2 linked regions of the Nothobranchius furzeri genome follow. The protein of the gene in region 2 interacts with the protein of the main gene of each other region in a biochemical or structural test. Links are inferred from orthologs where the notes say so. Each region holds a gene or a part of one and is shown on either strand. Other genes may lie near its edges. The genes, in order: kctd12.1 and gabbr2.

Region 1 (3,653 bases), on a different chromosome or scaffold from region 2:
AGTTTATCAGCAGTTTATGTCAGCTCACAGGAGCCAAGACAGATAAAATGGGACTGGTCCATCTTTATTTTTACACCTGTGTGCCTCCATGATGTGACATTTCCACAGCATCTAAAAGAAAATGCCTATGCAGATAATAACCAGAAACAGGTTGAGTTTGAGCTCACATTCACACAAGAATTATAATTTTCTACCAAGCTGCAAAAGTTTCTGCAATGTGTTAAAGCAAGCTGAGTGTTTGAGTCAAACCAAAAAGGGCGTGGGTGGGCGGTGGTCTGAACCCTGTTTTCCATTTTGGGTGAAGCTGACTGCACGCTGGCCCGTCATCGATTTTCCATTCATCCAGTCCCTGGCAGACTGCAGCCTCCTTTTTGTGTGCAGCTGGACCCTTTCATTATTTACACTTGAAATGATAATGACATCATGTGTGCACAGCTGCAATATTTGCATCCACGTTGCTGGATTTGTGTGTCAAAGTGAGCCTTCTGCTGCAGCTGTAACTAAACTCACGTGCAGCTGTGATTAAACAGAACCTTTCTGGAGTTGATGGAGCCAGAAAAGGTTTTCAGTTTTTGTTTGGTTGCTTTAGTGCCATGCAGGAGGAAGATTTCTGGGCTTTCATCCCCCCATGGAGTAAAGGCTGCAGAAGGGGGCAGATGATTTGGCAAAGAGCTGAGAATAAAAGAGTAGAAGATTGTTTTTATTTAGTCTGAACACTTAATAACAAACACAAGGAACACTCCACGCACATTTACAATCTCTGCAGCGATCAAACCGATAGAAGATCTTACAAAACTTGGCCAAACAAGTGAGTCTCGAAGTCACACTGAATACTAATGGCTGCTTCTGCTCCTGGTCTCTGCTCAGCTCTCACAGCTGAGTCAGATATGACTGAAACATTGACATGATGATCAAGATGATAGTTTATTATGCAATATAGAGCTTTGGATAAGTGTCGGGTTGGATGATGCTGTGCTCTCTTTGTACCTCAAAGCTGCACCGCTTATTCTGCTTAGAATCCGATGCGTAAAATCTGTTTTTGGCGCGTTTTGCGTTTTTCGCCTTTACTAAACGTCACCACTTTAAAGACCTTCCCCTCTAAATTATGACACATATTTACACGGAGAGCGGCACGGACGAGCCAGATGAGTACTATTCCCGACAGAATACATATTCGGTGTAGCTTGTCCAGATTTTGTCCTCGGTCGGGTCGTTGCTGGTGTAGGCGCAGGTGCCGGTGGAGCTGCAGGCCACCATGTGGAAACCCGCCTCTGTCAGTTTGTCAAACGCCTGCTCTAGAAAATTATACTTCAGATAGTAGCGGGACGTGTATCTCTCCGGGGGCCTGTCCGGATCCCTGCTCTCATTCAGCGTCTCCCCGAACACCTCTTTGGCCAGAGAAGTCTTCCCGCAGACGGTGATGCGCGCGACTCTCCTGAATTTGGCGTCGGTTTGGATGTCTCTGCCAATTGTGTAGGAGCCGCGGTATCCTATCGTGATGTAGCCGGAGCGTCTGGAATCCAGGGACGGGGAGCGCATGGCCCCGGTGACGGACATAGTGCGTAAAGTGTCGGTTCCACCGAAGGACTGCTGCGCGCCCTCCTCCGTGTCGCTCTGGCTGATCTCCTCACTGATCGAGTTGTCCTTACTCACCCGCGGGTTGAGGCGTTTGGCGAGGTCCCGCAGCAAGAAAAAGTCCGCCTCCCTCTGTAGCCGACTTTTCTCCGGGAAGTAGTCCGGCAGGACCAAGTTCAGATCACGGAGATAATCGAGGATGTAGCGGAACAAGAAGCCGTCCCTGTCCAAGAAGAAGCGCCCCTTGCTGTCCCTCGCCAGCTCCTTGGGGGACTTCTTACTGAACATGTTCCACAGGAGCGAGTCCGGGACGGCGATCAGAGTCTTGTGTCTGGTCACATAAACCTGTCCCCCGACGTTCAGCTCGATGATCTCTGAGAACAGGGAGCCGGGGTCCCCGCAGCAGGACCCCCCGCGCTCTGCATCTGCCAGTGCCATCTTCTCCGAGCTACTGCGCTGACAGGATCAGAGGAAAACACTGAGGTGCCAGTCCCAGCTGCTGGCTTATGAAGCCTGAGTTTAACACGTGCGGATGTGCGCGTGCACGCAGGGGGTGACTGTTAAATTATCATTTAACTATTGAGTTGCTGTCTTGTGCAGCTTTCTTGGTTTTACGCATAAAAGGCGGAAAAGCAGAGCCATGCGCCTTATCCGGCAGCTTCACCCAAAAAAAAAAAGTATCATCCATATGGGACTCATCTCAGCCTGGTGTCTTTCTAAAGCAGCACCTCCTCCTGAGGGTTTAAATAGTGAAATAAATGATGTTCAATTAGAATCTATGCTTTTACTTTGAAGGAACCATTAGAATGTATGGAGAGAGTGACACCTACAGTAGCTCCAATGAAATGCAGCCATGATCTCTCTCTCTCTCTCTCTCTCTCTCTCTCTCTCTCTCTCTCTCTCTCTCTCTCTCTCTCTCTCTCATTCTCTCTCTCTCTCTCTCTCTCTCTCGCTCTCTCTCTCCGGATTCAGCAGCATAACAGAGTTTAGTCAAAGTTTCTGCACCTTGGAATTTTTGGACACTTTGAATTGGTAAATGAAAAATAGAAATCAAGCATTTCTTCTAAGAAATTCAGCAGGATTAGAGAATGATTAAATTATCACTTTTTGTTCCACGTTTTAGAGCAGGAAGTGAAACATGGAACTGAGTTTGGTGTGTTTAGTTTTGACGCATGGATTTCAAATTTATTAATTCTTGTTCTTGTTTGGTTTTATTATCATTTCCTGAAATCCAGTTCCTTTAAGGGTTTGTACTTCTACATTTTCCCTATTAGATCTGACTTTGTGCATCTTCCTTTTTTTGGCTTTAGTTTTTTTTTTTTCCCTGTTTGGAAACCCACTGATGTTTCCGGATGTTTATTTATTTCTTCATTCATTCATTCATTCATTCATTCATTCATGATGGCTTCTCATCTCATGTGTGAACATTTGGACCTGCTTATTGTGTGTTTGTGTTGGGCACAACTATTTATCTCTTAAGATTTTGACCAAAGTGTCAGCTTCTTTTTCTTGACATCTGTAAAGTTATGAGGCTAAACTAAAAACGTCCAAACATTAGCTAAACCACATTATAAGCAGCACACATTTAGAAAAGCAGATGTTTTCAGAATTTTATAAGGTTAAAGGGACAATGTGGCCCGGACGAGCAAGATACTTTTTTAAGTTGAATCACTTGAAAGAACAATTGAAGCTTATGTCTGGAAACTTAGCGGCCTCATCAAGCTGAACCATTGCACGAACAAAAACCTCCCATATTTCATCACAGAGGTCACGTATGAACCTCTAAACATGCTGGGTGGACAGATTTAGCATGTAATGAAAATATAAAAGGTCAAGATAGGAAAGAATCATGTAAACAACACATCACTGAAGAGATATTAAACTTTTAAATGCTTTTACATGATAAAAAATATCTAAAAATTTACTTCTGTTGAACTTTTTATTATCATTAATAAATAACAATAAATCTATGTTGGATGTTCTTTAATGTTCTAATGGCACGTGTCACCTGTAGTACTCAGACTGTCCACCAGAGAGCAGAACACACACCTGGTGCAGCAGGTTTGTGAGGAAAGCAC
Region 2 (3,826 bases):
ATAAGAAAACAAGTTATTGCCCCTCTTGAACAAGTTGCATTAATATAAGTTTTGTTCATCGTTTTAAAGTTGGGATTGAACGTGATGCCCACGTCAGAAATGACAAAACAGTAACAGAATGGACCTTTGTGTTTCTCCACTTAATAAACTTTTCATATCATTATATTTCTGCATTTGTAAGTTGTATTCTCCAGAGAACCTGACAATGAAACATACAAAGATATTATTATATATGTCACATCGGTTTTCCAACTGAAAAGGTAAACAGACCTGTGGCAAATACAAACCATCAGCATGGCGCTCTTCATTACAGGATAGTACGAGCCCTTGACCCACAATAATGGCATTTGAACATTATTTTTATCCATGAAAACAACTGAAATGATTGATAACAGAATACATGCATTAAAACGAAATGACACCTCGTGATCTGCTTTTGGGGTTTTGGATGGTTTAGAAAAAATAATTTAGTATTTTTGTAAATTACAGGGGTGGTTTCATTAAAATTAACCAGTAGCTGCTGCTTTAGCTTTATTGCTCTCAGTAAACAGGTGCTTAACCAGTTTGATAGGAATATGTCGAGTTTGTTCACTGAGAATCTTGGCGTTGACGGCAGGATTAACGAAAACTCAGAAGGGAATCAACCAAATTGCAGATGAGAAGATGGAACAGAGTGGGTTTGTCACAACAGTTGCAAAAACAGAGGTAACTCTGTGAGTTATACATTTTATTTCATGCCATCTTGAGAAAGCCAATACCAAATACTCCATACATGGACACCATCATCAGGGTATCAGCAAATTGTACACAATCACATATAATGTCATATATAAAATGTGCAGGTTGGCTGTTTTTTTTATTTTTTATTTCTCCTGAAGGAAGAACCAACCCTCTCGATATCGTCTCCCCACTCACATCTTCTGTAACTGTGATTCTCTGGTTGGCAAAGGTGCAGGAGGAACTGTGACTCCTTGGAGATTCTGTGCTCAGGGTTTCCCTGCTCCTGTGCGTGGCAGGGCCTGGAAGGGGAGGAGTGGGAGTCACCCCGATATGTCTGACAGCAGTTGGGTCTCTGCTTGTTTGTATTTCCGCTCCACCAGTGTTCACAAACGAGGGCTGGAAGCGGAGCTACGCCCCACACTGTCCCGTTCACAGACACGTTAAGTTGATCTATGACACATTGTACAGTTTTACAGATGTGTGGCCAATGCACGTTGCTGGGTAAGCGCAATCCTGACCCAGAGTACGTAGTGTGGGTCCTGCAGGCTACAAGATAAGACAACAGGCACAGCGTTTAACAAACGCCTTAAAAAATAAAAACCAAGACACCAATGGTGAAACAATATGCTGAGAACGAACCTTCTCACTGCCGATAAAAAAGTATTTCACCCCCCTCCAACAGAGTTCCAGTTTGCTTTCCTTCTGCACTTCCTGGTTTTGTGAAAACCAACGATACTCTTGAAAAAACGTTACACGCGACGCTTCATCGGGTTTACATTTCTGTAGCAACGAGGTATGTTCACTGTTGCTAAGCATGAACGATTTTTTCTGGATACTTGGTCTGATCTGTGAAAGAAAGCCCTGTGTTTGTGGTGCACCTCCGTGACCAACAGCTGTGGCGTCGCTGCATGGAAACTGAAGCTACAGTCACTTGGGGCTAAGAACTCCAGACCTCCACGAGTCTACTGCCTTTATGACTTTGGATGGAAATTCAGGTTTCCCACAGTAAACCTACATTTTTTCCACCGTCCCTCGTTTAGTTTTGTTTCTTCTGAATTTGCTTCATTCCTTAGAAACTCTTCCAATTCTAGGTCAATGACACCCCCAATGCTCTGAATGGTAGTTAGATATGACATCTTAGTAATCCATATGGATAAACCCGTGGGTTTCAATACGAATTCATGCATCCTTAGCTGTAAATCATATGGTGCTCTTTTGGCTTTTAAGTGAACATCTGTATTTGTGCATTTCCTATTATGTAACATGTAAAATAAATCCTGTGGTGTTTTATTTTTTGTTCTATTTTTCTAACACATACTAGGAGACCTATTAAAAGACATAGCATCCATTTTCTGTAAGACATGCCTTCTGAAGATAAATCAAACCAGCCGTAGAGTATGGAAGCCTCAGCTAAGCCTGACAAGGGGGCTCTAACATAAACTAGCAGCGGAATGATGAGCAAAACAGAAAAAAGAGCACTGTGAACCTACGTCCAGATTGGACAAATATGACATGCGTCTGTTTGATGCCTGTAACCTACTATAATAATAGTTACGCTAACAAATGTATTTGGTATTCCTCTGATGTATAGGAGACTTTGTTTTGTAGGTTTTCAATGGAGATGTTCATATCTACTTGCTTCTGTTACACAGTTCAAACTTAAAAACCCCTTTAATCATCCATTCACAGCATATACACATTTTACAGTACATCAATGTTGGAAACGATGATATTTACATGTCTGCACAGGGTTGGAAAGGGGGTGGTGTCTTTCTGTTTTGTAGGATCTTGCACATTTCTTGTTCTTTAACTAATATCCAATCTCTGAAGCACTAAAATGCTCAAGTTCGATGACATGCTCAGATGTAGCTGCAAGCACATACAGTACATACAACAGATAAAAAAATTTGACAGAAACAAATAATCCCCTCTGAAGCAGATAAGGCTACACATGAGATTAGAGCTGGTCCACCGCAGCTGTTGGACTGTCATTGTGTTTGTGCATTTGTATCTGTGTTGTCTGTGTCTGACTGTGCATACGTGTATAGGCCTAGATTGAGGGGAAGATGGCCAAAGGGATGTTAATCACAAACGTTTTTAAGGACCGACACTCAGTTCTCAAGAGACTGGGGGTGCAGAGGTATAATGAGTGAAACTTGGTCCCCCCTCATTCTGTTCTCCCCAAGTCTTATATGGTCCAAGACAAAATACGCACAGACGCTGACGATATCAGTCTATTCGTTGTAGAAAAAAAAGAACCATTTGTGTCTCCTCTGCAAAACACAAGGTGGGAGGGATGCCGAAGCTCACAGGCCAGAGACCATTACTCGGTAGGAGGGGGGCATGTGTCTGTGCCTTGGGCTGGAACCTGGGCTTCCATTCGGGCTGGTGCAGCTGGCATCAACCCCACCTATGGAAGGTAGGTATGCATGGTGCAGAATGGGCAGCTGCAAAGACAGTCGACGCTGTATGCTGCAAATAAAGAAATGGAAGGAAAATTGTTAGATCTTACAATTGTGTGTGGTTGTTAGTTAGACATTACAAAATCTGAAAAAAATCACCCATGTCTTTGTTGTAGCAATGCACCTTGAAAATAAGTCTTATACTGTTGGGAAGTCTGCTTACTCCTACTTACTTAGGAAAATTCAATAGTGGGTTGCAACTAGAGGTGGGAAAAATGATCGATTCTAAGATGCATCACGATTCAGCCTTGCGTGATTCCGCATCGATGCAGCAACGTGACATAATGAGATTCTCTCCCTATCGGGGGTCGGCAACCGTGGCTCTGGAGCCGCATGCGGCTCTTCCATCCATCTGATGCGGCTCTCTGTGCTTGTAAAATAATGAATGGATATTTAAATGAAATGCTTTATATTTTACTGCATTAATTTTACATCTGTAAGCCAATTCTAAATGTAAAGATTGTCTGCGTAAACCTGAACAGGTCCAAACCGGTCTTACTGTGAGACCGGGTTGACGCGTCACGCTTGTGCGTAATCATATGCGTGTTCTGAGCTGACGAGGATGTGAGATTCTGGGATTCTCCTCAGACGGCTCCTGGATGTGTCGCCACATTGGAGACAGGAACAAGCGCTATTCAGCCAAA

Evidence for each region.
Region 1: the proteins of gabbr2 (region 2) and kctd12.1 form a complex in vitro, tested with the Homo sapiens proteins (2 studies listed by BioGRID). The link is inferred for Nothobranchius furzeri from reciprocal best matches to the Homo sapiens genes GABBR2 and KCTD12.

Annotation. Positions count from the first base shown.
Region 1 is NC_091754.1:27,985,287-27,988,939, reverse strand, and holds kctd12.1 (BTB/POZ domain-containing protein KCTD12.1), read right to left. Parts: upstream 2,359-3,653; 5' UTR 2,014-2,358; coding exon 1,153-2,013; 3' UTR 685-1,152; downstream 1-684. UniProt on the Homo sapiens protein: Auxiliary subunit of GABA-B receptors that determine the pharmacology and kinetics of the receptor response. Increases agonist potency and markedly alter the G-protein signaling of the receptors by accelerating onset and promoting desensitization.
Region 2 is NC_091759.1:14,401,840-14,405,665, reverse strand, and holds part of gabbr2 (gamma-aminobutyric acid type B receptor subunit 2), read right to left. Parts: intron 3,193-3,826; coding exon 3,027-3,192; 3' UTR 1-3,026. UniProt on the Homo sapiens protein: Component of a heterodimeric G-protein coupled receptor for GABA, formed by GABBR1 and GABBR2. Within the heterodimeric GABA receptor, only GABBR1 seems to bind agonists, while GABBR2 mediates coupling to G proteins.